Linked DNA regions of Tribolium castaneum. The protein of the gene in region 1 interacts with the protein of each later gene in a biochemical or structural test. Links are inferred from orthologs where the notes say so. Each region holds a gene or a part of one and is shown on either strand. Other genes may lie near its edges.

Region 1 (15,455 bases):
AACCCACCTGTGGGCTTCCATGCAATAATACTGAACCAAATACCGGCGAGAGCACTGCGACCGGCAACATTCGTCCACTATTTGCCGCCGAAAACGTCTCCTAGCTGAACAAAAATTACAAAAAACTTTCGACAAAGCGGAACTTACGCAAAGTCGGGTAATTGTAAATAGCGCACAGTTCGGTGAGAGTCTTCACCAATTTTTTCCCGCAGAAGAACTCTTTTCGGTCGATGTTTGCGTGGATCTGGCCGGCGAGGAGCAAGGTGAAGCAGACTTTAAGCCAGAGTTTTGGCACGTTCATTGTAAGCCACCTGGAGGGACAAAATAGAATTTGAAAGGAACCAATATCAATTTATACCCCGGTGGTGTTAAATGTCGCTTCATGTTACCATGGAGTCTACATTTCTTACAAAAAGTACCCTTGAAGTCAAAATTATTAATCTAGGGTCGGCATTGTGTGACTAACAATTGGACCGACGAGTTAAAATTGGATAGTAGGAGTGATTTAGATAGATGCGAGTGTCAGGATTTAATTTTCTTTATTGCAAAAACCTTGACTCATTTAACTACACACATCATAATTAAAATATTTTTAGAGCGCGAAAAAATTGAGATTTTAGCGCTTACCGTGATTGCTCAAAGTTCAGCCAACACTGCCTTCGCGGATAACGCACTGACCATCACTGCAAGAAACCAGCCACTTTTTGCAAGCTGCTACTTCCGAAATTAGGGATGATTTGTGGCCGTTTCAGCAGCCACAAATTTATAAATAGCACAGTCTGGGATGATACAAATTGTGATTAAAAAAATTCAGATATAACATGTTTATCGGCAAGATTTATGAAATCGCTGTTTGTTTAACCTTTGCCTGGATTGACACGGGTTTCGGCTATACCTGCGAATCTTCAGGCACCGAACAATCGACTAATCGCTCTGCGAAATTGAACCGAATTTGTGATACAATTCTTACGCTCGCGACTGATAACGCTGTCGGATGATTTTTTTATTAAAATATTTACTATTATTTTAGGTCACACCGACTCCCCTTTACGCCATAGTTTGATAATAGTGGTGTTGGTCATTTATTATCGCTGCTGATTGCTTGTCTTCCGCATCAGTGATTCTATTATTGCCAGAAGGCCAGACACGGTGATAAAAATGTTCCCTTAATAAAAAATTGTTGCTTGGCAAAAATTGTCAAACTAAGGAGTGATAACGAGTGACCTGCAAAATTTGCAAAAATGTCTCGTCCAGTTGCGATAATTATTTCTGAATGGAGCGATTAGGTTTTTGCCAGGATTTGTATTTTTATCTCGGTTGCATCCGATCAGAAAACAATTTTGTTATTTTCCGATCGATAAATATTGTTTCTAATATTTTATCTCTTTTACTTAATCGAGTCACTGCTGCACTGACCCAGAATTTGAGGCGAAATCCAGAAAAATCACGCTTTCACGCTTAGATGAAATGTCATACCTCTTGATAACAATTCTAGAAATAAATTGAGAAAAATCTAATCTGTTCTTGTGGAGTGACTTAAGATAAACATAAATAAAATCGATTCGGAGGTAAACGAATTAAATTTCACAACGTGATAAGTTTTATTGAGCAAAAAACATTTTTATATCAAAATAATAGGATAAGAGTGGGAGGGTCAATCCGTGGAATTAGTAAACATTCTAATTTTAGCAGTTTTCTTAAAATCCAGCTGAAGTTACGGTGACTGGTTCCAAAGTCTTGTTTCACGCAGTGTTCATGATTCGACCTCAGAAGCGTGATTAAATAGGTGCAAGATTAAGTGATTTATGGGTCTTATAATTATATAACAAATCGTTTTACAAATAACTTCGTTATCGGAATCAATTATACGATATCCGGTTGTTAACGCCACGACTATCTTTGACTCATCCCAAAATAATCACAAGACAATAAATAACATCCTTGATTGCAACTGCAGACAATCGGATTTTTTCGCTAAGCCAACAGGAACCGCTCCTCAATTCTTGTGCCGAGCTTTAAACTTTTATTACCTGCAATAGCTGTTGGAAACCGCGCAGACAAAGCGTCATAACTCATCGTTCTTTTCCTATCGATTTTCTAGTAGTTTACAAACAAGCCGTTATTAATTATGATGACCCTCTTACTTGGATTTGCATAATGAGAGTAAATATCTGGAAGAGCTTAATAGTTTCAAACTTAGTTATTGCCATAATCCATTAACTTATGCAAATTAATTAAGAGTCAATTTTTACCGAGTCACAACTTGAGAAGGTGTCAATCGAAATTAGAGAAAAATTATTGCGTTTTCTATTAATTTTCACTCCTTGAACTTTGAAAGCAAAAATCGCTTTTTGTTCAAAAATAGCCGTTTGGACTGACAAACAAAATTATGTAACGTTGATCGAAGGTTCAATAAAAATAATTTTCTAATAAAGCTGTCAGATACCGATGTCTGTCGGGATCTTAATTTCAAGTCTGAGGACAAAATAAGAGAAACACTGATAAGAGACCGGGTTCGAGAGTCAACAGTTTTAAACGCCCCCAACATTGTTTCACCCTTCTATTGACTATTGGCTAAGCAAATAAGAATCACACAAAGCTTTGATCTCTTTGGGGCTAAATATTTAATTTCGCAGGTATTTACTTTGAAACTTAAGTAACAAAAGCTGTTGAAAACACGAAAGGCACACTTGCGAGTGACAGTTTTTCCTTTGAAATTAAAAATTAATTAGACTGCGTAATTGAACATAATGCCCACACAGCGTGGTGATTTCTCGTAGACTCTGATCTATCTGATTTATCCGAACGAAGCTCGAGCTTTCATCGCTGATCCGAGCGAGGCCACCTACGAAGGATAAATAGAATTAAGCCCATTGGTAATTCGGCGCCCATGAATCCGCTCACGTCCCATTTTTCCAAAATCTCCGTAAACATCGTAATGATTTCAAAGGGAATAAGTGTAAAAGCACTTGTAAATTTCGGTATAAATAGCGAGGAAACGCAAGCGCGTGCTTTATTCGCTTTCAATTCCACTAACCTACATTTGAACAGTTTGGCAAAAGCGCTCGGAGCTTTGGGACGTCGCAATAAATGTCGCAAAATTCGGCCACGTGCTGCGAGGTGGTGTTTTTTCGCTTAAATAGACCTTCACAGGTGCGTGTTTTCCCGCTTATTATTGACGTGACACGTGTGATTGATGTTGCTTTATTATGATTTCCTGCAAGTAAACACTTTTGAATTTCTCTAAGTCGATCAAAGTTGAAATTTTACCGCGAGGTGGTAAACAATCGGCGTCAAAGGGGGACTTTTAATTAAATCCACATCGATGCCAAGTGTCCGATAAATTGCTTTTCGAGCTTTTGTGCATTTGGAATTTTATTTTATTGGTGCAAGCGGAGCAAAACAATGCCAGGATTGCGACACGAGACTCATTTTAATTGATATTAAAGCTTACGTTTTAATCAAGGTTTAACCAGTTTTGCATGTCCTTTGAACTCCAAACAATAACTCGCCATGTAATGAAACTACGCCATAAATTTTGGGCCCCGAAGAGCTTTTTAGTTCGATAATAATTAATTAAAATTTTGTCTTACGTGACGAGCTTTCCGCCAAAAGCTGTCACATCCAGGCGCAACTTTGTGATGAGTCGTCTAAAGTTTCGTCTCCATTTATACTCCGAAATCTATTTTTGATGCAAGTGCATAAAATTTTGAGTAAGCTTTTCGCACTTTTATGCTCGGAATTGTTTTGGATTGAAGGCTGTTAAAGCGGCCCACCTTGGAGCGAGTAAGGACAACAAATAAAACAAAACAGCGACTTTTCAAGAGTTCAAGTGCATTTAAAACTAACTTTGTAGATAAATACCCGCTGCATTATTCATTCCTTGAACTCGTAAATTCGCACTCGGCTCCCGTCTCAATTATTTTTTTTACAATATTGATCCGTCACATTTCTCGGCAAACTTGTCCGAAAGTTTGATTAAAATTTCCGGTTTTTCTTTCTGGCGTTGATGAGGAAAACTTTATCGTTTCAGATGTGAGCGAAAAATGAACGCAACATCTCCGAAGTCCTCACTGGCCAAGCTCGGCCTCTACCCCCGACCGAAAACTTTGAAGGTCATGGTTTTGGGGCAAAGCGGTGTCGGAAAATCAGGTAATTGCCAGAGCGGCTATTTCTGGGTTTGTTTACCAGGCTTCCGTTCTAGCGATGGTTGTGCGATTTATTACCAAAAGATACATAGGCGAGTACGACCCGACTTTGGAAAAAGTTTACGCTTTCCACACAGTGATTGACAACGAGATGGTTTATTTTGATATCCTTGATACGGCAGGACAACCGCACGTAAGCTTTCGCCCTGTTTGCATGTCCGCTGTGCAAATGGCAGTGCAATTTGTTAATTAAGTTTCGAATTAAAGTTAATTACGCCTAGTTTGTCATAATAAAAGTCCGCGTATTTGTTATCGCCTGGAAGTGGTTGCAAGCGACTTTATTAAAATTAGAATGTTTACAATGGCGAGGAATTAGCAGGTGTTACATCATTAAAGCATTTTATTAACTGTTTATAAATATTTCGGACGTTGTAGCCGATTTATGTGAAAATGAATCGATTTTTTGATCAAACACCACTTATGCAAAAATAATTTTTGCATTTATCAAGTAATCATTTAGTGGCATCTTGTTGCCAACAACGCTGTTTCACGATAAAAATTTCGTCATTATTTTACTCCGTGTAAATAACAAGAATTTAATTAATTCGAATTTTATCAGTATAGTTTTATTTTTTAAACAATAGACGTGTGGTTTCGTGATCACGTAATTGTTTTATTAAATGTGTCTCTGAGTGTTTGAAAAAATCAACTTGACGATAATTGTTACAATAAAAAATAAAATTGCTATTTGGGCAATATATCAAGATGTCCGAACCTGATATTAGAGATAAACAACCGTTATAGATTAAGTATCAAGGGATAAGAAGACGAAGTAACGAAGATTTATGAGTGTACTAAAAGGAATTATTGAATTTCAACTCACTCAACGAACAAAAGCAATTATATCCGAACGGCAAACACACCTAGCCTGAGAAAAAAGACAAAATGGGCCGTTAGAAAGCAAACCTTTCTTATAATAAGCTTACACATTTTGAGAGGAAATTTTTGTAACCTTATTAAATTCAATTAAAAATTATTATTTCAAATTATTTGTATTAATAGCCTCACTGGATGGTATAAAGCATTTCCTTAGTAAAATAAGCTTTTATTGAAAAGTAAACAGCTGCCGTCAGTTGTGTGTCACTTAAAAAACTTGAAATATCACTCTTTCCAAGTAAACTGAATTAATTTCTGATTTAAAGCCTTTCATAAGAGGAGTGAGGTTCCAGCAATATGAAAAAGTCCATTGTTGACTTTAAATAGTTAGAAAATTAATCTTTTTTTACGAAAACTGTATAAACTAATCCTCTGATTTACATAAAATTATTTTCAAGAATACAGAATGTTTCCGAAATGAGCTACAATACAAACCTATCCAATTTTTTAAAGAAACATTCTATATTTTTTTGCGATTTTTGAATATAGCTTTCGACACTGCTGTTTTTAAGAGAAATTGTTATTGGTTTTTAAATTAATGTTTGTTTTTGAAATAATTTGATTTTTTAACAAAAAAAATTTTTTTTTAAATATTACATAAAAACTAAAAATCTTAGAAAAGTGTCCTGCTGAATATATTTTTCATGTTTTACTTATTTATTTATTTTATTATATTTATTTATAATTTGTCTGCGATCCTAATGACATACGCTCAACAACTGATACTGATTTAAGTTTGAACTTTTTCCTTTAAAATAGTGAACGTCCTACATTGCTTAGATTTTTTGTTTTTGTGTAATAATTTTTTAAATAAAATGCGTTATCGTCAAAAAAAAACAAATTATTTCAAAAACTAAACAGAATCGACTAATATAAGTATAAATCAAAATTATCAGAATTAAAAGCTGCGTCCAAAAATGCAATAAAATTTAGAGTGCTCTATTAAAAAAAATTACTTCAGCGTCTCTTTAGTTTTGGAACAGTCTGAATACACACCGCAGTCTGAAGCAGTAACGCAGCTATAATAAAAAAAAATAATGAACAAGTTATGGAGCTTTTTTGAATCGTTGTGATATCCTGTATATATATATATATTAAAATATTCTGCAGTTAATTATAATTATGCTGTTGTAGAATGGCTGACGATTTTTTATCTGAAGAATTGTTGCCTGAGAAAAAAGAATCCGAACAGTTAACAGTTACCGTAAAATTAATAATCCTATTACTGTAAATAAAACTCGAGGGTCCTCCACTAGCAACCATTAAATTAAAAAAGAGAAAGCAATTACAATATTAAAATTATTCTATTAAAGAGAAAACTGATAAAAATGTAACTAGCAATAAAAAATAAAGCTTAGCGCTTCCGAAATACTTTCCAAATACTTTTGAATATTATTAAAAGTGGACAAGAAAATAATCCTAGATTATCAAAAATTCCTAATAAAATAAAGACTAGAGCAGTTTCTAATTCAATAGAACGAAGACAATAAGAAACTTGTAAGATCTTCACTTATAACGCATTTACATCAGAAATTGAAGAAACGAAAAATCTTTCAAATGTTTAACTACAGCGTTTTATTGGAGAATTTAAAAATTCTTAGGCTGCAAAAAAAAGAGTAAAAACAATGTTAATTGTTTATCTTAAAGGAAATCTTATTACAAATTGTATAAGAAATACATATTAAGCTGCAATTAAACAACGTCTTTTATTTTCGCCTGCCAGTCGTCTCTAAAATTTTATGAGTCAAGCATTTAGCAGACTTACATTTTTAGAAGCATTTGCTTAGTTTTGTAGGCTTGCCTTTATTAATCATAAGTGTAATATACAATTTTTTTCTACTTCCTATTTTTGTTGTTTGTTTTTTTTTAGTTTAACTTATCAGAATCTGTTCAAATTATTTTTTCTTAATGTTGTTAATTATTCGGGTTTTATCAATAAACGACCTATTTATGCTTATTTTTATTAATACCACCTAGAATTTAATTATGTAAATGTTTGCAGGAGAGCGAATGTTTGGCTCTGGAGGCGAACATCCGCTGGGCTGAAGCCTTCATCCTCATGTATTCAGTGACGGACAAATGCTCTTTTGACGAGTGCTACCGCCTTAAATTTTTGATCAACTACAACAAGCGCCGCCGTCGCCTGGGGGGCACGTCCAAGGACCCCGTCCTCGACGTCCCCGTGGTCCTCGTGGGCAACAAAATCGACCAGATGGAGGACAGAATGGTGACTCTCGAAGAAGGGCAACGCCGTAGCAAAGAAATCGGCTGTGTCTGCTTCCACGAGATTTCAGTCCGCGAAAGCATCGACCAAGTGTGGTCGGTCTTTCGGGACGTTTGCCGCTTTTGGCGCGTTCAAAATAAAAATCCCAAGATGCGGAGAAGTGGAAGTGAGAAGGAACCGATGAGTCCTGACAGCGTTAAGTTGCTTTGTTCGTCGGCGGGGTCTCCCAGCGGACTTATCCCCAGCTGTAGGATGGGGATGTTCAGTCGGCGGTGGACCGAAGTGGAGTTGGAGGAGGAGGATGAGGAGGAGAGCAAGGAGAGCAGTGCGAGCAGTCCGGGAGAGAGTGTTCCCTTTAGGGAGAGGGCCTCCACGGATGGGCACCTGCAGCAGAGGCCCTGGAGGTGGAGGTATCCGCCCATTGGGACGGGAGGGTCGCAGGATCTGAGTGTCAGGGCTGAGAGGAGGATGAGTATTTCGATGAGAGGGAATAATGCCAGTTATTGAAATGATTCAGTTTTGGATAATTTGACTAAGACTGAGATGAGAGTCTTAGAGGAAACACGCTCGTTTTGCAAACGGAGACAATAAAACACGAGTTTGGGACGAAGTTGTACGGCTTTATCAATTAACCAATGACCACATTTGCTGTGATTTCATGTTTCGTCGTAACATAATCAAAAGATGTATATTTAAATATGTATTTATTCTGTATTAATGTTTTATGGATTTTTATCCAGTATTCATTCCATTGTGATGTTTAAGGTGTTATAATAAAAATACAAAAATAAATTGTGTTTTATTTTATTCTCAAGTTTTTTATTACCCATTTTAATCTCAAAATTCTTTATTTATGTGTTTCTGATTAAAATAAATCAATAGTATATTACGTTGTTAGGAGTAAAAGTCATAAAATCTCACACTCACACTTCGAATAACATCCCTATACCTATTTATAACCCGGATCAGATGTGACTTGTTTCATTGAAAAAATTGTACAAAAGGCAAGTGAAACAACACGTAAACAAAAATAAGAGAATAAAAAAACACATAGACGTATAAACATAAAGCGGAGCATAAAACTGACAGAAATAAAAAAATAATGCGGCAAAAGCTAAAAGTACGTAAAGGCGCCAAATTGTAAACGTAATAATAAAAAAATTCAAACATTTTTTCTGTTTTTTTTAACTCCTTATTACTCGCGGACCATCCTGTATAGCCACAAAAATGGTCAGTTTTGTGACTTTTACCGATAAATTAATTATAATAGGTAATACTAAATGTAAAATGGTGGATGCGCCGGGTTAATTATTTATTATTTTAAATAATATTGACGATAATAGTTAGAAATATTGTCGTTAATATATCCAAAGTTATAATCCTCCAAAATCGCTATTAATAAAATGCATGCAAAATCAAGATAAGTAAAATTGTTTTACAACAACAACTCCATAAAGAATTTGTATTACTGGTTACATAACACGCGCGTACAATAGGTTGCTTACCGGTTCTGTCAAGTGTCAAAATAGGTTGACACGTCGTTGACATTTAATTCCAAAATATTAACATTACGTGTTTTGTGTTAAATAAGTGTTTTTTCTCAGTTAAAGTGGTATGAAAAACCTGTTCTCACACGATAATACAGTTTCGCATTTCTTTTCACGTTAACACTTTTGTTGGTATCTTTCTACGCCCTAACCCTAACTCGTGTCCCTTCCCACTTCCAGGTAAATCTCCACAATGACTGCAGTCGAACAGCCCTGTTACACCCTCATAAACGTCCCCACCGACACAGAACCCTACAATGAGATGCAACTTAAGATAGACCTAGGTAGGTAACCCCCAAGCGCTATCCTCTCTTATCGCCCGTTTCTAGAAAAGGGCGACGTCAAACAAAAAGTCGAAGCTTTGAAAAAGACCATTCACATGATCCTGGCCGGCGAGCGCCTGCCCCCGGGCCTCCTCATGACCATAATCCGCTACGTCCTCCCTTTGCAAGACCACACCGCCAAAAAACTACTCCTCATCTTCTGGGAGATCGTCCCTAAGACCTCCCCCGACGGCAAACTCCTCCAGGAAATGATCCTCGTCTGCGACGCCTACCGCAAGGATTTGCAACACCCGAACGAATTTCTCAGGGGCTCAACTTTGCGCTTCTTGTGCAAATTGAAAGAGCCCGAGCTTTTGGAGCCCCTGATGCCCTCGATCCGGGCCTGTCTGGAGCACAGACACTCCTACGTGCGGCGCAATGCCGTCCTTGCGATTTTCACAATTTACCGAAATTTCGAATTTTTGATCCCGGACGCTCCAGAGTTGATTTCGAATTACTTGGACGGGGAGCAAGACATGTCGTGTAAGCGGAACGCTTTCCTCATGCTGCTCCACGCAGATCAGGAGCGCGCCTTGAGCTATTTGGCCTCGTGCTTGGACCAAGTGACCTCCTTCGGGGACATCCTCCAGTTGGTTATTGTCGAATTGATTTACAAAGTTTGCCACAGCAATCCGTCTGAACGGTCCAGGTTCATCCGCTGTATTTACAATTTGCTCAATTCGAGCAGCCCCGCTGTGCGGTATGAGGCTGCGGGGACTTTGGTCACGCTCTCCACAGCCCCCACGGCGATTAAAGCGGCCGCCAGTTGCTACATTGAGCTCATAATCAAGGAAAGCGACAACAATGTCAAGCTCATTGTTTTGGACCGTCTGATCGCTCTCAAAGACCACCCAACTCACGAAAGGGTTCTTCAAGACTTGGTTATGGATATTTTGAGGGTTTTGTCGAGTCCTGATTTGGAGGTGCGCAAAAAGACTCTTAATCTGGCGATGGATTTGGTTTCGTCGCGAAATATCGAAGAAATGGTCTTGGTTTTGAAGAAAGAAGTTGCGAAAACGCACGATGTTGAGCATGAAGATACCGGAAAATATAGACAGTTGCTAGTCCGGACTTTGCATTCTTGTTGTATTCGATTTCCGGATGTTGCAGCAACTGTTATTCCAGTTTTGGTCGAATTCTTATCTGATACAAATGAGCTTGCAGCCGTTGATGTTCTGATCTTCGTCAGAGAGGCGATTCAGAAATTCGATAATTTGCAGCCGCTCATCATTGAGGTAAGAAAATTCTTTGAAAATTTGAAAAATTGGACGTTTGACGTAAGTCAACTCTCGATTAAGAACGGTTGTTTGGGTTATTTCATGGTTATTTGATTAGATTATTTGTAAGATCTCAATTGTCGGTAATCAAACGTTTTGCTATGCATTTCGTTTGATTATTAATTTTGTTTTATTATTATCTGAATGTGTTTAATCATTGGAGCGTCAAATATCGAAAATGACGCACACTTGATTAATGATTACGCATTTATTTCTATATAAACTGCAAGAAATAATCGAATTTAAATTTTTCTTTTCCGTATAATCATTGATTTGAGTTCTGTCGTGACATAAATCAAGTCACAATTTTTTAAAAAAGAAAAAATACGAACAATATTACTAGTGCGTCCATATTTTATGAATGAAAATCATGAAAAGGTCATCTAATTAAAATATCTGGGTCACATTTCGGTCGATTTTTTTTATGAAAGATGATGCTTTCGTCTTACGTCATTTCCAATGCGATGAGTAGAAGCAAAAAAATTATTAATTAACGTAAGTATTAATACGCATTGTGATTGGCCTGTTTGAGAAAACAACCACTTTGGATTTTTGGACTCATTCCAATTTAGAGCAATTGGTGAACTTCGACTTGGTTGATTTACTTATTATAATAAACATGATTTTTTTCTGATATTTAATACGTGTCTCTTATGTACTTCATCACGTTAGGTTTCTGAAAAAATTATTAAATATTGTTATAAAGCTTTATTAAATTTCACTGTATCTGAGCGTTTTATTACTACGAGTAAAAAAGAAAAGTCATATTATATGACATATTCAAACATGTATAAGAAGCTGGTTAAATCAAAAAAGCATTGCTATGCCGAAAAACATTGTTAATAAAAATTATGGCCACTGCGACACAAAATGACAGCAAACAATCGGTATTATTTACTTCACCTTACGCTCATATTCTTGTGAAAAACGCCGAAAAAATGAGAAAACTTTGCTTCCTTATACCTTTTTCCATATTTTTATCTTTGACGGTTTACTTTTAAATTTTAATTGTGAGACCAAAATTTTGTGATATGGTGAAAATTATCCCAGCGACAGTTTGGGGCCAAGATATAATTAATTAAATTAATTTTAATAAATTTAATTATTTAATGAAGAAAGATTTTAGTTTCGTTGCCCTTAGAATGTTAACGCAACGTCTCTTTAAAATTGAACTATTTTGCGTTTCTTGGTTTATGGGAGCAAAAACTATTGGTAAAACAATCCACAATCACGTAATAAGAAACCAATAATTTTAAATTTTAATCATTTATTAACATTATTACAAAAATTTATATATGTGAAAAAAAGATTCAATGATGCCCGAGTGTTTGTCTTAAAAAAATATTTTCCAGAAACTCCTCGAAGCTTTCCCCAACATAAAATCGGTGAAAATCCACCGAGCCGCCCTTTGGATTTTAGGCGAATACGCAACAACTGTGGCCGACATCCAGTCCGTACTTAAAGCCATCAACCAAACCCTAGGCGAGGGCCCCCTTCTGGAAGCGGAGCAACGTCTAGTGGCCGGAGATTCGGAAGAAGTCACCCAACCGAACCCAACACAAGCTTCCAGCACCCTCGTCACTTCTGACGGAACTTACGCCACCCAATCAGCCTTCAACACGGTTCAGTAAGTAGTCATTTGTCGAGAGAAAAGCCCGGTTTGTAAATCAAGCTTTAGGAAAAGCACAAAAGAGAAGCGGCCCCCACTTCGCCAGTATCTAATCGACGGCGATTTCTTTATCGGGGCTGCGATCGCCTCAACTTTGACCAAACTGGCTCTAAGGTACGGCAGTTCGGTTAAAAATGCGGTTGAAAGGAATCGGTTTGATGCCGAAGTTATGATGATCATGGCCGGGATTATTCACTTGGGGAAGTCGGGTTTGCCAACTAAGGCCATGACCAATGATGATAAGGACCACGTTTTATTCTGCTTGCGGGTGCTTTCGGACCGGCAGCCGAGCATTATCAAGGTTTTTACCGACTTGTGCCGACAGGCACTTAACGACATGTTAGTCGCCAAAGAAATTGAAGAAGCACTCAATCAGAAAGCGAAAGAAAAGGCTGGTAATGTCATACAAGCCGACGATCCGATCAATTTTATGCAATTACAAGCCGACAAGTCGGGCGAATTGGGTGAAAACGTCTTCGAAACGTCCTTGTCACAAGCCTTGGTTGGGGGCCGAGTCGGCGGCAGTGACACAAGCACTGGGGTTAACAAGCTGAACAAAGTGACTCAATTGACCGGCTTTTCAGACCCGGTGTATGCCGAAGCCTACGTCCATGTCAACCAGTATGATATTGTTTTGGACGTTTTGATAGTCAACCAGACCAACGATACGTTACAAAACTGCACCCTTGAGTTGGCAACTCTCGGCGATTTGAAACTCGTGGAAAAACCGCAGCCGGTGGTTCTGGCGCCCAAAGACTTCTGCAACATTAAGGCCAACGTGAAAGTGGCCTCGACCGAAAACGGGATTATTTTCGGGAACATAGTTTATGACGTCACGGGAGCAGCGTCCGACCGAAACGTGGTGGTCCTGGACGACATCCATATTGATATTATGGATTACATAGTCCCGGCCACTTGTAGCGACTCGGAGTTCAGGCAAATGTGGGCCGAGTTCGAGTGGGAGAATAAGGTTTCGGTTAATACGACCTTAACCGACCTTGCGGAATATTTGAAGCACTTGATCAAAAGCACCAACATGAAGTGTTTGACTCCGGAGAAGGCCCTGTCAGGGCAGTGCGGTTTCATGGCCGCCAATATGTACGCAAAATCAATCTTTGGAGAGGACGCTCTCGCTAATTTGAGTATTGAAAAACCGTTCAACAAACCTGATGCACCCGTTACTGGACATATCAGGATCAGGGCCAAGAGTCAGGTTGGTAGCACTGAGTGTGAATCACAGCTGAGTTTGTTGTTGCAGGGGATGGCTCTGAGTTTGGGTGACAAGATCAATATGACACAGAAGGGGCAACAGAGTAAAGTTATCGCTGCATAATTTGTATTTTATGGTCGTATTAATATTAATAAAGTTTATTTGAAAAAATGGCTTTGATTACGGAAAACTCGCTTTTTCTGAATCCAAAAAATAGAGTACTTATACCGTCTCAGCGCCAACTCTTTAAATTAATTTAAATTCAACCAATTCTGAGAAAAACTGTATTATTCTAAAATAAAGTCACTGTGAGAAAAACTAATGACTGAAATTTTCATAAGAAACGTGAGAAAAAAAAGAACATTTTCGCTTCGTGCCGTATTTTTCAAAACGCTACAAAATATTGGCAAAGTGCAAATTGGTAGAAGTTTTTTTTTTTAAATATAAATAACGATAAATTTTGCGTTATGTTTAATGCTTTATCATTTATAAAATTCATTGCTCAGAAAACAGACGATAATGAACGACTGCGCTCTCTGGCGGCACTAAGGAAACTATCAAGGACGGGACCGTTTTATTTGAACGTGGTTTCGTATCCTAACCTTTAGACCTCCGTAGTTTTGATGTAACGATATTTATTTGATTATAAATACAGTTTATTATTGGAAACGAAAATAAAATAAGATAAAAAGTACATCATGGACGTCGGGACAAAACGATGTTCTCGCTTGCTTATTCTTCTTCTTCCTCCTCGTCGTCCTCTTCCTCTTCTTCTACCTCAACCTCCTCTTCCTCTTCCTCCTCTTCTGGCTCGGGCTCGAACACCGGCTCCTTGATGTCTTCATCATCATCGGCGGCGTGTTTGCCCTCTTCTTCGCCCTCAGGGGTCTCAGGATCGCCCTTCTTCTTGCCGGGCCTTTCACCGAACCATTTGGGAAGTTTGGCTAAAATACAACGTTTCAGAACCCGCCCTTGCCCACATTGGCACAAATAAGCAACCAGCAGCAACTCTTACATTTTTGCCTCGAATCGAATTGCCCAATTTTGTCTTTCCAGAGTTTTTCATTGGTTTCCTTGGTAATTTCTTCGTAACCCTGTTAAAACGTAAAACGCACACTCAGACATGGCACAGTACAGTTTTGTGATTAGAAAAAGGACACGAGACAAGTGATTAATAGCAAAATGGGCACAACACAACGGATATGCCCACTTACTTCTCGACCGACTTTCGAACTCGCCCACTTTCTCTTTCCAAACTTTTTCCAAAAGTTCCATGTTTAGGTGGTCAAAGCCCTAACAGAAACGGTCACAACGCAATCATCGGTCCTTTTTTTGACTTTTGTAATACTTACACCCTCAAACAGTTTCTTCTTGTCGTCGTACGATCTGGTGTCGACACGACGCTCATATTTGGACGCTACTTGGATCTTAGGCTACAAAACACAAAATTACAAACACTTAACACAAGAATTAATAACACGTACGGGGTATTTGCCGGTGAGAGCCTCGGGGTCCAAGCCCTTCTTCAAGGCCTTGTGCCTGAGTTGCTGCTTTTGTCTCTCTTTCAATTCTTTAAGCTGTAAAATTACGTTATCCCACTGTGCCAATATTATGTTTGCGGGCTTACATCGTAATCCTGGCGTTTCTGCCTTTCTTCCAAGTCATATTTCTCAGTTTCGAGCTTAACGATGCAGTCCCACAACTCCTGGGCCTTTTCCCGGAGCTTGTCCACGCTGAGGTTGTCAAGCACCAAGGGCTTGATGCGAATGGATAAGGAAATTTTCTTCTCTTCTTCCAGCTGCTCCTTGGTCTTGTTTCTCTCAAGCTGCGCCGCGCTCAAGTTGGACTAGAACCTTGTCATAGAATCGTTCTTACGCACAATTCGCACAACTTACGGAAGCATCACGTTTGGTGATGGTGAAGTTGGGTCCTTTGTTCTTGTTCTGATCTTTCAGGGCTTGCATCATGGCTTGGCGCTTCTTCTCGGCTTCTTCCAGCCGCTGCCTCTTCTCTTCAATATCACGCTGTTTCTTCTCTTCAATCTCGCGGATGCGGCGTTCTTCTTCCTGCTTCTTCCTCTCGGCCATTTTCCTCTCTTCTTCGGCGCGGCTGATCTTGCGC
Region 2 (15,329 bases), on another chromosome or scaffold:
CTTATTTTGATGTGTAGATACGACTTTACCTGTGGATGCTTCAAATTAAATAAGTATTTGTACCGCTTGTTTACTAGTTTGTGTTAAAACCGCATCTAATAAAACACTTCTAGGTACGTACATGTGACAAAAGGAAGAAGATGATTATTTGCAATATTTATATGTGATGTGTAAATAAACATCTTAAAATAGATGTTATAATGTCACTTAGAAGGCATGAATAATAAGCAATTATTATGTAAAAATAAAAACTGTATACTTTATAAATTTTTGTTAAATACCTGATGATTTAGTGACAAACAAAATACATTTTGTTGGAAAGTAATTTATATTTAAAATTTTCATCGATAATTGCATTTTAGAAAGAAGTTAATTTTTTAGAGCTTCCAAAAACGTTTATCTCAAGTTTTTTTGTGTCAACATTGTTTGATTCTTTATAATAAACTATTTTATCCAAGGTATGAATAAAGAGTAAAAGGATTATAATTTTTATTCAGCATGAAGAATTGGTACATAAATGGACTTCAAACATTTCGTTTTGTTACTCAAGTGTGTACTTTTGTTAATTTTATTGCCGCATGTTTCATTTTGTTCTTTTTCCCTTGGAAATAAGTATGTAAATAAAATGACGTCATTTAAAGATTATGCCTCATAATTATTAGTTTTATATTCGAGTAAAAACTAATAAAAACCTAGAAATAAATATTTTGTTCCATCAATTAGGTAAGGAATTAAAAAAAAGAGTTTGATAAGACACTTTATTATACGAAACAATATTACAAAAGAAACAATATTTATCTATACATTAGCAAACAAGATATTGTACTTAAAGTAAGTAAAATATGCTAAATAAAATAAAAATTTTGGGTAAAGAGATTTCAAACAATTTTTGACCATACATTTGTAAAAACTAAAAAGCTGTGACACGTTTTGATAATTCGTAGACGATTTTTGATTTTGTCCTTGGATGAGTATTACTTAATAGTATAAAAACTGTAAAACGACTACAATTAAATATTTGGACGTGCTTACAGTAAACACAATTAAATTACATTCCAAAAAGTATTAATGATTACAGAGTTCATTTTGTTGCTACCCATACTTAGGCGGTTCATGTATTTTACAACAAATAGTAAATACACACCGGAATTATTGTAAATCAATTGGTATACTTGATATATTGTCTTTTACCACAATTTGGAAAAAAATAAATAAAATAAATATCAAAACAAAAAACACAAACAACTACTATAAATTGAGCAATTAAACAACAAAAATATAAAGGGAAGAGTTGCACAAATAAAGACATACCGTAGATAATGTAAAAAATGAAATATATACAATTGCACATTATTAGGAAAATATTTGCATAAGCAAATAAAAGGGAATAACATATTAGAGGATTAATATTCTGAAAGTGATGTTAAAAACAGTGTTTTCAAAAGAAGACAATAAATAAAAACACATACGGAGCTAAAGTTGCATAAACCTAATGAAGAAAAATAGTTTACAGTAAAAGACATATAAAGCCATAGTTCATAATTTGTAAATAAGATAGAAAATTTAAAATAAATTCGCGAATTTATTTAAATTTCCGCAATTGTACTGTCTTTTCGTATTAGATTTGAGTCTAGAAAACTAATATGACTGTTGGTGTGTCAGACTTTTCGTTTCAAACTTGATTGAGAGCACAAAACTTCCTACACTAATCCCTACTACAGTAAACATTTCACAACCATGATACAAGGCGGAAGCATTAACAGGCACATCGTTGCGACTAAAATAAAACTATTCACATAACCAATCGCATGGTAACTTTGGCATTTTGCTCGCCGGCCACGGCAAATAACCGGAGGTTTTAAAAACACAGTAATCGTAAACGACTTTGGCAATCAGACCCACGAGAAGCACCACCTCTATGGTGATGATGTAGTAGATGTAGTCAGTCCAGTCTTGTTGCGTCTGACAGAGCTTGGAAGGGTTCAAATCTATCACTTTCATATCCATGTTATCACAGTAGATTTCTTCGAAATCGGGGATGTTTTTCTGCTTCGTCAACAGCCACACCTACAATTAAACTAAAATTGCTGACTCAAACAAAATTAAAGTACCTTCAAAACTTTGGCCGTGTTACAATCACACTGGAGTCTGTTCAGACCGAGAAAAACGTACCGGACGTAATTATTCCGGTCCAGTATGTTCGAGAATATGTAAGTTGGGAGCTGAAAGAAAACAATCCCAGCTCATGACTGAAACAATTTACAAATTTACCGATTTCAACTTGTTGTTTCTAAGACTCAGGACTGCGAAACTGCTCAAAAACTGCGACCCCTCCAGCGGGAGAATGGACGTAATCTGGTTATTATCAGCATACAGCTCCCTAATATTCTGGTAGGAGGAGTCGGTACTGAACAGTTCCAGCGAAGTTATGTTATTATTCGAAACGTTCAGAGCTATAGTGTTGGGTGGCAGAGGTGAAGGCAGTGATGTCCAGCTCTGTCCGGAGCAGTTAACAGCCACTGCAATCGTTGCTTGTTTTCCTGACACTAGGTCCAGTCTTGAGGGCTCACAAGTGCAATTTTTGCGGCAATCTTTACGCAACTAAAAGAAGAAATTACAATTCAGCTCGAAATCCTGCTGATTGTACTACCTTATGTGTTCCAATCACTTGTGTAAGAGGGACAGTTTCAGTCGTATTGAACCAGTGAAAGGTTCGGGCAAATAGACAAAAGGAATTGTTTATGTTGCTGAAGTGGAGTTCGGTGCGCTTTAAAGCGTCGAATAGGTTTGAGCATAACATGTGCTGATTAGCTGCAAATGAATAGTTTAAAAGAATAATAATTTGAAAGGCACTATAACTAACTATAATTAAATTTAAGCAATTTCTAGTTCTATTTTCCTATTCTAAGGGCCGGTTTATAGAAAGCTTTGTTAAAATTTAATTCGTTGTTAAGTCAACAACGCAATTGGACCAATCATATTTGCTCAATTTGGTCACGTGATCAGTTAATCACGCACTTAATTGCAGATTAACTTAATGACGTTTCTGTTTCCAAGTACCTGATATGTCTAGAGTTATATTCCCATCTTTTTTGAACCGAGGGACGTCCGATAAATTGTTGTGTGAAAGATCCAAGAAGCTCAGATTGTACAAATTGACCAGAGATCTATTTTCAAAATTGACGATCCCGTTTGAGGATAAATTCAAACAGGAGACTATGGTGTGTTTGGCGAATTCCCCGACTACGCTGTTTATTTGGCCGTCTGTTATGGTCATGTATCTCAGATATTTGAGTTTCCTCCAGTCCTCCACGTTTAGGATGTCCAGACTGGCGTTCCGTATGTGCAGCGACTCCACATGACCGTTGCCACTGATGTCTGTTATTGTTAATAATAACAATAATTTATTAATAATAAATTTTGTAACATTGTTTATAGGAGTGATAAATTAAAATAATTACTTGCGCATGCCAAGCCTTCCGTTAGTTGGAATTTATTAACGTTGCAGCAAACGGCCGCACTTTTGCAGTATGGGAGTTTGCGACAACGGCACTTGCTGTCAGGGCTAGGGCATGCCTCTGCTGGTTGATGGAAACAGTGGTCGGTTACGCAGTTGTCCAGGGATGAGTAGGTGATGTCTTCGGCTAAGCGACTCCATGAGGGTTCGAGCAGAAGACAGAGCAGCAAAATGCTTAGTGTCTTCCACATCTACAACAATTTTTAGATGTTACCTTAAAAAAGAAACTTGAAACTTCAAGATTATTATAGATTATCCAAGATTATTATTATAATTGTTTACGCGATACCTCCCAATTATTTGATTTGACAAATTCCACGGCCGTCACCGAGGTCAACTGGTTACTTGCTCATCTGAACATTAAAAAATAAAGTCCACTCCTTTATTTTTCGCAAACACAATTCAATTTTCCAAACCACAAAACTTTGTGGGTTGAAATGAGCTTTTTCCTTTTATTGCTCATATCAGAATAAATAAAAAACTATACTTTTAGAACATAGCAGATTGAACAAAAAAACACAGCAGATTTTTTAAACTAAATTTAAATTAACGTACTGTATGTAACAATTAATTATTGCATATGTCCTATGTAGTGCCACACAAATGTTTTTAGAGCATTATTATGTAATATTATAATGTCTCTTATCTCTTAACATTTTCATATTAATGTATCTTTAAACATATTTTAATATAATCCTAAAAACAAAATAAAATTAGAAACATTAGATTAGATAAAAACACTTCTTTGTGCATAATCAGTAATCATAATGCGTGAAGATATTACTTTAGAAATTGTTGCTATACGAAAAAACGAATAAATTAAATTTCTCAATCTGCTTTAAAAAAAATACTTCGTGGTTCTGAGCAATTAATTAATAAATTATGAAGTGCTAGGAAAACATATTCGGGGTAGATTTAACACATCAATGACACCTAATTGAAATTTCTATTAATTCTTTTAAGACTGACGGAGAGAACAGTCTTTCCCATAGGTCATTTAATTATTGCTAAAGCAAAAATTTGACAAAAAACAAAATAACTGGGCTTCCAAAACCACCAACACAACTTTGGTTCTAGTATTTCGTTGCAGACACGAAAGTAAAAAGGATTAACAATCTACAGATAATTTTTATTGTGCAAGATATGTAGTAAATGTTCTTCAACTTTATTACTGAAGTTAATCGTTGTTGATAAAAGAAATGCGATCTAATAAAAGGCTTGGATGTAAAATTCCTACCTAACTCACATTTTTGCAAAAAGCAAATTTGAAAATACTATGTACATAGTAATTACGAGTACTGTTAATTTAATACGATTTTTACGGTTACATCTCTATTGTCCGTTACTATCTTTTATGGTAGTTTTTTTTAGAGCTCATTGTACTAATTGTTTGTTATTATGATGCTTATAAATATTTATTATACGAGTAGTAAAGATAGAATAAAACAACTCTTCAAACTACTCAAATATGGATCTTAAATATAGTTTACCCAATTATACGTGGGTGTGAATCTTAATAAAACACCTAAATTAAAATACTAGACAACATACTGTATCAAATATGTAAAAAAAAATTGAGCCGATCGGGATTCGAACTCACACTTTTTGGAAATTCCCGCAGTGATAACCACTAGTATCGCATTCTCAACAGGTGAATATTTTGATAAATATTCTTGTTGCTTACAAGCAACAAGTAGTACGAATTACACCATTTATTGATTGTGATAAATTACAAGGAGCTGTCTTTAATGGCCAAAGAACATGCGACGTAGGTGCGCATAATTTTTAAGATTTTACGGTCAACTGGGATATTATTTCTACTTTTTTAATAAATATAAGTACTGTAATTATTATTATTAATTCACTTACGTTAATTATAAGTCCACACATCAATAAAAAATATTAGTTATAACACTAGAATTAACATTACATTCACATACAATTTTATTAACATTGTTGCGGACAAAATTATTTCATAACAATCACATAAATCAATTAAATATCGCTATAACAGTCAGTGAAAACAATGCAAGAAACACACGTTGCGGAATGACGATAAAAATACATGCATAGGTTTGCAATTATTACGTCGTAATTTTAATTTATCAACAGAAATTTATATTTAGATTGGGTGCACATACAAATCTAATTTTGAACACATTAAAATGTGTCAATTGCTTCCACAGGAAAAAGCAATTTGCTTTGATACAGGATATAGGCAACTTGTAAACAATAGTAAGAGCACTTAGTACTTAGCCATATAGTACTTAAGTGTCAGAGAGGAAGATGCAATGAAACATACCTTTTCACTCAGGTAGAGGAACACAATCAACGGTACACATTATTCTTTGGCCATAGAACTGTTTTAAGCCTTTACTACAAAGTTACACAAAGACACTATGGGACGAGATGTTTTTAACAGAATTAACCTAAACATAACACACTACTATAGCTTTTGCTATGGCCTTGGTACGGCCTTGATGAGGCACACGGAAACGTGAACATAAAATGAACATAATAACAGATAAATATAGTAAACTACTAATGTTGATATCAAGGCGCCATCTATTTGTTCTCCACTCTTTACTCCCAATTATTATTGTTAATTAAACTTTATTCAGTAATTGGATCAATGAAACTCGCTGCCCACACCTCAAACAAACTTCCATTACTCCATTTCAAAAGACCCCATTCAAGGAAAATCAAATATTTTGAATATTTCCTCACACTCTACTTTTAGAACACGCTTATATGACCACCAATACTCGCTCTATATTGCTGGTAGATTATTTTTCAAAATTTAGAACCACCCATTTTCAGTCCTTTCACTCCTACCCTTATTTTTGTATTGATTATTTTACACTTTTATCTATTCTATTGTTCTGTTGCTTAAATCACTTATACAAAAAAAGGAACATTTGTTGATTATTAAAGTAAAGTATGATTAAAAAAAAAACACTCACTAAACTGATGTGTAGTAACAGTAGTCTTGTGAGCTTGTGACTGCACATTATTCATGTCAATTGACAAACATATTGATTTCTTGATGAGACAAACAAATTATAAATCCTCTACCACCAATGTTTTATTCATGAAATAAAAAATGCTTCAAACTCAGTACCTAATCATCAATTTTAACACATTCCTATGATGGATTTACAGTTTTCAGTGCAGTCTATGTACAAATTTTTGAATACACTGTAACCACCTAAACGATAATTTTCAAACTAATCGGGGTATTGGAAAATATCGAACTGAAACACACTTGCGTCAGAAAAATGCCAGCAAATAATTGCTCAACAAGATGTGCAAACTGAAGGAAAATTCAAGAGCCAATCGAAAGAAGAGTAATAAAGTAAAGTAATTATTTAGTTTGAGATATTTACCAAACGCACTATTAATAATGGTTTACAGGTAGATAATAAATAACAGTTAATCGTGCTGGCTGATTATATTTGTTGATTATATCAGCTTAAAGTAATTAAAAGCTTCTTGCTAATACTCGTACCTAAAGTGTAAAAAATTAAGTAAACGAATGAATAACAATATCCGACAAATTATTGTGTTAATAAAAAATTATTGTTGTTTATTTTTCTCACATTTACAATTTTTTTGATTACCATTGATTACCTTTAAAAAATGAGAAAATAATATAATATATCGCACAAAAGTCAGACTAACACACGTTAATATTATTCTAATCTTAAATTTTTGAAATTTGACACTTTACTGTGGCATTTTTGTATTGTTTTCTATCTTTAATTAACATTTGCAGTAGCATACAGGAAAATACTATGTTTTTTTCATAGCCTTATCTTATGACTTTATGATAGACAAAGAATGGTTAAAATTTTTTACTTATTAATCAGAATGTAATAAAAAATAACTCTGGCCTATATTTTCGTGATCTGGTAGCCAAGATAAAAATTTTGGAATGTTTGATATTAAAAAAAATTTAAATTTTCAAAATACTTGCAATTTAATCACGATATTTTATTTAATCATTTTTATTGCACTAGCTATACTTAATACTCAAATAACCCAAACCACCCACCTTAGAAATAAAAATAACTTGTAATTCTAGGCCGCAATTTTTTTTTGATATTCAATCAATTTGTTCAGATACATATCTTTACAATATCATAATTTACTATAATCTATTAAGACAATTTAGTTTGCTGAAATATTCTTAGGCCATAGTGGATAATAAAAAACCGAAAATATTTTTTTTTAGTTAGATACAATTTATTATCTGGTTTATTTCTAAAATAATTACGTTTTTTTTTGCTTTTTTTCACATTCCTGTATTGCTATATTTTAGTAGGAACAAATTACTAAATAGCTGAAGCAACAAAAAATATAAAAATAGAGCAGTTATTGACTTATTTAGTTTGATTTTAAGTAACTTATGAGTAGAAACTGGAGCATTTTCGAATTTTGCGCCTAGAGCTGGTGCAGTGAATCGGCGTAAGGTTGGCTGACTGAATACGGTCACGTCACTGTTTTTCTCATTCAACAGCAAGCACAAGTCAACGTCATCTTAAAAAATTAATAGGGTGTAATGTTTTGTAAAATATTATTTTAGTTTTTAGGAACATAACAGCAACAGACCTTTCACAGTCTCTAAAATGGTGAGATAATCTTTCACACACCACACAAATCCAACCTTTCACAATTCCAATTTAAAATTTCCAAGTTGCCATTTTACGCATTTTCTCACGTTATAACATATGATTTCAGGTGCTCATAGCAGCGGCGGTCTGCACTAAGGCCGGTAAAAGTAAGTACCCCACATAAACCACCGAACCATGTGTTGCAACCTTTCTCTGCCTTTCCAGCCATAGTCTCTCGGCAGTTTGTTGAGATGACCAAAGCCCGCATTGAGGGTCTCCTGGCGGCTTTCCCCAAACTTATCCCAACAGGAACACAACACACCTTTGTAGAGACCGACTCGGTCCGATATGTATATCAGCCACTTGAGCGCCTTTACATGCTCCTGATTACCACAAGAGCTAGCAACATTTTGGAAGATTTAGAAACTCTGAGGTTGTTTGCGAAAGTGGTAAGCTGTCCAGACCCATGGAAGCCACAAAAACATCCTCACATTGTCATTATTTTAGATTCCCGAATATTGCCGCTCATTGGAAGAAAATGAAATTGCGGAAAACGCATTTTCCCTCATTTTTGCGTTTGATGAGATTGTTGCTCTTGGGTACAGGGAAAGCGTCAATTTGAGCCAAATTCGCACATTTGTCGAGATGGATTCACACGAAGAGCGGGTCTATCAGGCCGTCAGACAGGTAATAAAATTGCTAAACTGGTAAAATCATTTATTATCAAAGTTTGTACAACAACGGACACGGCTATTATTTCAAATTTGCTATTTCATGATTAGATTGCCTCACAGAAAATAAATTAACAACAGTTCTAGAAATTGTAATGCCAAAAAGTCGTAATTCCAGTTGGCAATACTGAATTCTAATTTTAAACAATGTAACTGAAGTATATTTCTGGTTAAGGTTTTGGATTCTGTCATCAGTGACAAAAAAAGGGAATTTTTTGGTTAAAAATTATTAAAGCCAAGAAGTTGTAATTTCAGATGGCAATACTGACTTTTAATTTTTAACCATGTAACTCAGTATATTTCCCGGTAAGATTTTGGATTCTGTCTTAAATGAAAGCGGTTTGAAAGAAATAAACAAAATGACAAGTTTTCAAAGATTTTGTGTTAGTCACAGCTCTTAAAGTAATTTTGGTAATAAAGCAAATAACTCAGTATTGCCAATAAATTTTTTAAGATGTTAAGTAAAATTCCTCCCAATTTTAAATTTTTATTTGAGGTATAAAATCAGATATAATAAATTTTTCGACACATTATTTCATAGTGACCCAGTAGAAGGTGAAATAAAAATTAATTTGCTGTTAAAAGTTAATTTAACAGTTAATTTGGTAAGTGATCACTGATCAGCTGTTCTAACGTTTAAGTGAACGAATTCATCGCTAATACCTGTCTCACTATTTTTTTTTGTTACCCTGATGGATTTTATGTTGAAAATTAATAATGGTATAATGAACATAAAAAGAATTGCTGTAAAATCTAGAGTTCTTATAATACCATAATAATATTCCGTTTCACATCAACATAAAGAGACTATGCTATTGTTTGTATAACTTGTTGATATACCTACCAGGTGAATAAAGAGAATGAAATCTAACGTGTTTTTTTTTGCTTAAACTATTTACTTTTTGGAAAAACTACTAGCAGTGTGATTAAAGAAAATGTTTATTTTTTTGTATGTGTAGTTTTTGAATTTTTTACGACCCACTTATTTATCCACTGGTTTAAAAACTATGAAAACTTAAAGACAAGCGTTATTAAATTTTTAAATTGCTTTTATTTACAATAAATTCAAGATTTAAAGTTTCACGAAAGGAAAAACATCTTATTCAGACAGAATGTTTAGCTTGGGCATAGAAAGCCATTTCCGATATTTCTGCACTTTTAAACCTCCTCACGGAGGTCTTAGGGCGAATAAAATAGAAACAGAAGACATGAGACATCTAACATTTGATAGAAAGCATAATATTTCTTTTAGAGCCCTTTCCTATAATTGAATTAAGGCATGCTGTTTGTATAGATTCGAAACCAATGTAATTTCTGATTTACGAACTGACTCCTCTTTAGACACAAGAACGCGAAGCTAAAAACAAAATGCGTGAGAAAGCTAAAGAATTGCAACGCCAGCGAATGGAAGCCAACAAAAAGGGCGTCAAACCATCATTTGGTAGCAGTGGAGGCTTTGGTAGCTCATCTGGTTATACTCCAGCCCCTTCAGTCGGCGATGTTGCCAATATTTCAAACGATATCAAACCACCAGCTTATTCCTCCGCTCCTCAGTATGTTAAAAACATCCAAAAAATTTTTTTTTAAATTGATTTAATAGGAAACCTTCGACTCGAGGAATGAAACTGGGTGGCAAAGGCCACGACGTTGAGTCTTTCGTAGACCAGCTTAAATCCGAAGGCGAAAATGTCATTGCACCAGTTAATAACAGTATTTCACAAGGGGGAATGAAAACACCAGCGATCAAGTCCGATATTAATGAGTAAGAAAATAAACAGAATAGAGTAGAAAGTGACTTGAATTATTTCCAGTGTTCACTTGAGACTGGAGGAAAAACTAATCGTTCGAATGGGCCGTGACGGCGGTGTGCAACAATTCGAGTTGTTGGGGTTGGTGACACTGCACATTGGGGACGAAAAGTGGGGGCGAATTCGTGTCCAGTTGGAAAATAAAGACACGCGTGGCATCCAGCTCCAAACTCACCCCAATGTAGACAAGGAACTTTTCAAACTGCGTTCCCAAGTACAAACAAACCAAAAAATTATTGTTGATTAATTTCGTTAATTTAGATTGGGCTCAAACAACCATCCAAACCATTCCCGTTGCACACAGACGTCGGTGTCCTGAAATGGCGATTGCAAAGCACAGATGAGAGTTTAGTGCCTCTCTTGATCAACTGTTGGCCGTCGGAAGTGGGCGATGGCAGTTGCGACATCAATATCGAGTACGAACTTGCCGATCCGAATTTAGAGCTGGCTGATGTCAATATTTTGATTCCGTTACCGTACGTTCATAAAATGTGATCCCAGTATTTTATTGATGTATTATTTTAGGATGGGTTGTAACCCGGTTGTGGGCGAATGTGATGGCTCATACACGCATGAGTCAAGACGTAACCAGCTAATATGGAATCTACCTATTATAGATTCAAGCAATAAAACTGGATCGTTGGAATTTAGTGCGCCCCGATCTATTCCTAACGACTTTTTCCCGGTGACAGTTTCTTTTAGTTCGAAATCTGCTTACGCAAATATTAAGGTGAGTTTTCCTGTTTACGTCACCAGCACGGCGAGTGCGTTAGTAATAGGTCGTGGTTTTAAAGACGTTTTCTCGTTTCAGATTCTTGATGTATTAATGGTGGACGATGATTCTCCTGTTAAGTATTCTGTTGAAACTAGCTTGTTTCCCGACAAATATGAGATAGTGTAAGTGTCACAGTAGGTTACGATAGTTAATGAAATTATATAATAATAAAATTCACTTGTATAAATACTACTAATATTTTATTCGTTCTTGCTTTTTGTACAAAATTTTAAGAAGTTTGTTTTAATTTTTATCTATTATATAAATAAAATAAGTCAGGAGTATATTTATAACCCGTTGTTTCATTCCCGCCAAATAAAAAAAGACTTGCTTGAATAAAATTTTATTAAATAATAGTTAATCACAAATCAATTATGAACTACACAGAAAAATCAAAAGCAAAGTGCATTTATTTTGGCAGATTTTCTAATACCTTTTGAGCCAAATAATCCGTTGCATCACAGGTTACTGTTTTTTTTGGTGCGAAAATCTATTTCATGAATCGTTTGTACTGTTGTAGAAATATAAACATTGACAAACACAGTCTTATATTCTTGGACAACACAGAAGGTCCCCTATTCAACTTCAGTGAACAAAATAAATTAATTTGTGTCAACATGTCTCTTTTATTTACAATTTATGAACACAATTTTTACGCTTAAAGTGATTCAACGCAAATTTACGGTCGCAACTGCAAGAAAAATTGTCACTCTGAAAAATGTACGACACATTTGTACTTCGTCTATCATTTTCAACTGTCCTAGAACTAGTTCTAAAGTATCTTACACAAGTGACCTAGGGAATCAACCAAAAATATATTACAGGTCACTGCACAATTATTATCGGCATTTCTCTTGAAAAAGTGGTGTTCTCGTAACACGCAAAACCAAGGCCAATTCTCAACTTTTGTCTTAAAATTGGTTTAAATTTTTCCAAGAGCAATGTCGAAATATTTAACGAGTAATTTCCTATTTACTTCTGTGAACTGTGAATTTGAAATTTAGTTAATTTCAAAGTCATAGGCCACTTTAATCACGAATTAAATTGAAAGCACGGTGTAAATTAAAAATTATTTACAATGTTCACGATTTCTTTGGCTTGTTTCGTTAAAAGACAAATGCAAAACAATGAATAGGGCAATCTCCACGGCCACCACGAAACAATACAATAAATAATTGCAAAACGGGTTAAAAGTTAAATACAGATGATTACTTTAAACAGATAAAATTATTTTCTTATAATACATGTTTACCACTTCATTATTTAACGTCCCTACAGATTTGGCAAGGGTTAATAGGGTGACGTTGATGATTCTGAACAAGTTGAGTCTTTCCTATGGTTTAACGAATGTTGCAAGGCCATTGGCATTAGCCATTCTTTGGGTAAACAGCGCTCCAAAAATGGCACCCAACTACTAAAGTATGCTAGTCTGTTCACCCACGGCGGTATATCTTGACCACAAAGAATCTAAAACAAGGGATGCAATGACGTCAAATAAATATTTTCAAAGATAAAAGTTCTCCAACCTTGGTGAAAGCCCCAGAGAAGTGATTACAGTTATTATTCATTAGGTGGTAGCGATCCCCGCGAAATTCCTTTCCGAGTTCGTTTTTTATTCTTTTGACTTCTTCCTCCGTGAAATCGGTGTAGCCAATGTGGATGGTTTGCCTGAAAAGGTTTTCAGTCCATCACTCAAAGGTTCATTACTCCGTTTACATTAACTGATAACGTCAGCAATATATTTTTATGCCAACACTGGCAATGTTTAATTAAGATTACCTAAATCTGAACTGATCTCCTAAATCCCGCTCATCCCTGGGATTAATTTCAAATATGCCAGTGAAGGGGTACTGGTGCCCCCCATACGCATATTCAGTCCCGTAAACCTCCACTCCTACAATAATTGTAAGCAGCGAGAAAACATTATTGGTAAATTACCAGAGTGGAACACGCCAAGGCCTATGTTAGAAGTATACTCGTTGATCTTGTACATATCATAGACGTTCAGCAAGACAGGTTCACGAGCCATTCTGTTGGGAAGAAGTTCATCAGAGCCCGAGTCTCGAGTCACACTCATACAACTGAACGGAAGGTTGCAAGTTAGGCCATTAGAAAACATTCTGAAGCGACAATTTCCTGTTTTAAGGGGCCCCCAGTATTAAATATGGTGCACATACCCTGAGTTTGATCTTTTGTAGAATGGGGGGAAGAGGTTCAAAACACACTACCAATAAAGTTTTTAGTTCATAACGCATCAATGCAACGAGAAGGGAAGAATGTTCTGTTATAACGAAAATATTACACGAAATTAATGCACAAAGCAGGTTATATTTTGACAACTCTGACGTTTGACATTTATCTACCGGAAGCGCGGCAAAAAGTGGTGAGTAATGCTGGCGAACGGTTGTAACGGCACTTAAATCGGTTACAAAAAATACAACTAGGATGTTGGATTATATGGTGTTATCAAAAAATAAAAAAATGATTAAATAATGATAAATAAAAAATGATTGTTATGCAACACACAATACACATGGTTGAGTTTATTAATTAAAATTATTAATTCGATAAAAATTGTAGATAATTGATTAGAAATGTGATAGATTGATAAAACATATCACAAGTTAGTGTTCCTGTCTGCCAACAACGTTTAATAAAAATTTTTGTTTAAACTTTCAGTAGGTTAATTGATTTTGCCACACTTGTTGATAACTTTTACCCACACTGCATTTACGCGGAGTTTTATTATAAAACTTATTTTATTACTTTTAGGCCTTTTTTGGCAAAAAGTAGTTCAAAGAGGATGTATGTGAAAGTAAGCACGTTAAGATAGGTGGGCATGGGTGCCACAAGTTAAATTCTGAATGAGTTACTTATGATAAGAAACCAAAATTTTGATTTATTCTTTTCTTTTTTTCTAAATTCAAATGTAAATGGCGGGAAAGTCGGAGAAAGCGTACGCATGCGTTGCCGAACCAACGCATCACGTCCGCCATTTGCAAAACTAGCGCGTGCTTTCTGCGTGTGTGTGTTAATATTTTGTGTTTAGATTTTTACTGTGAACTGCTGAAAATCTAGTAGAAAAATGAGTTCAACACTGGACCCTGCCAAGTTAAAAGTGGTAGAATTACGTGCAGAACTCTCAAAGCGTGGTTTGGATTCAAAAGGAAACAAACCGGCGTTAGTCAAGCGCTTGAAAGAAGCCTTGGAGGAAGAACTCAAACAAGGTTAGTTCTGGGGCTGTTCCGCACAACTAGGGCCCCACAGCTGGTAAACGCGCTCACTGAGTGGTTTAAAACCACTGTTTATCACTCTGTTTGTTTTAATGTTTTTAAGATGGGTAGTAGACTTGCCACATTTGTGTACAGTTTAATTATCTATTATATTACGAGATGTTAGCGATAGTTAAAACACTAATCATTGTAAATAGTCAAAATCACCAGATTTTAACAGTTTCAAAACAATATCTTTGCTGTGAAGCAGATAAGACATGAAGTAGATTTTGGCGGGAAATTTAACTTGTGTTTTCTCACAACAGAGTTACCAGATACTTCAATTGCTGATACGTCGACGGAAGATTTGGATACTTCGCAAACTAAAAATGATTCCGTTACCGAAGAATCGAAAGTACCTGATAAGGAACCTGAAAAAACCGAAGCCTGTCCACTACCACCAAAAGAACAACCACCAGTGGAGCAACCAGAAGCCACAACAGAAGAAAAAATGGATGTAAGTGGTTTACACCGCTCGTAAAATTATCGTTCAATGCTTGTCGTTTTAGACACAAGAAGCGCCTCCTGCAGAACCCGTACAACAACCTGCACCTGAAGTTGAAGCACCTAAACCAGAAGAAACCGAACCTTCTGAACAGTCTGAACCAAAAGA

Evidence for each region.
Region 2: the proteins of betaCOP (region 1) and deltaCOP form a complex in vitro, tested with the Homo sapiens proteins (2 studies listed by BioGRID). The link is inferred for Tribolium castaneum from reciprocal best matches to the Homo sapiens genes COPB1 and ARCN1.

What each region holds. Positions count from the first base shown.
Region 1 is NC_087397.1:6,591,741-6,607,195, forward strand, and holds betaCOP (coatomer subunit beta), read left to right. Parts: upstream 1-8,783; 5' UTR 8,784-8,920; intron 8,921-9,035; 5' UTR 9,036-9,048; coding exon 9,049-9,139; intron 9,140-9,184; coding exon 9,185-10,413; intron 10,414-11,807; coding exon 11,808-12,082; intron 12,083-12,133; coding exon 12,134-13,337; intron 13,338-13,382; coding exon 13,383-13,457; 3' UTR 13,458-13,539; downstream 13,540-15,455. Other genes in the region: uncharacterized protein LOC103315192, read right to left, coding at 8-104, 148-311, 359-384; uncharacterized protein LOC664374, read left to right, coding at 4,047-4,152, 4,205-4,341, 7,087-7,815; up (troponin T), read right to left, coding at 14,067-14,278, 14,350-14,428, 14,687-14,767, 14,819-14,911, 14,962-15,180, 15,230-15,455. UniProt on the Homo sapiens protein: The coatomer is a cytosolic protein complex that binds to dilysine motifs and reversibly associates with Golgi non-clathrin-coated vesicles, which further mediate biosynthetic protein transport from the ER, via the Golgi up to the trans Golgi network.
Region 2 is NC_087394.1:32,196,395-32,211,723, forward strand, and holds deltaCOP (coatomer subunit delta), read left to right. Parts: upstream 1-7,992; 5' UTR 7,993-8,145; coding exon 8,146-8,148; intron 8,149-8,257; coding exon 8,258-8,297; intron 8,298-8,355; coding exon 8,356-8,579; intron 8,580-8,637; coding exon 8,638-8,817; intron 8,818-10,202; coding exon 10,203-10,414; intron 10,415-10,461; coding exon 10,462-10,623; intron 10,624-10,672; coding exon 10,673-10,883; intron 10,884-10,930; coding exon 10,931-11,145; intron 11,146-11,194; coding exon 11,195-11,399; intron 11,400-11,480; coding exon 11,481-11,570; 3' UTR 11,571-11,737; downstream 11,738-15,329. Other genes in the region: hfw (protein halfway), read right to left, coding at 1,789-2,067, 2,112-2,222, 2,272-2,601, 2,651-2,811, 3,061-3,378, 3,462-3,708, 6,481-6,528; deubiquitinase DESI2, read right to left, coding at 12,735-12,911, 12,971-13,112, 13,224-13,338, 13,383-13,563; heterogeneous nuclear ribonucleoprotein U-like protein 2, read left to right, coding at 14,530-14,671, 14,983-15,173, 15,226-15,329. UniProt on the Homo sapiens protein: Component of the coatomer, a cytosolic protein complex that binds to dilysine motifs and reversibly associates with Golgi non-clathrin-coated vesicles, which further mediate biosynthetic protein transport from the ER, via the Golgi up to the trans Golgi network.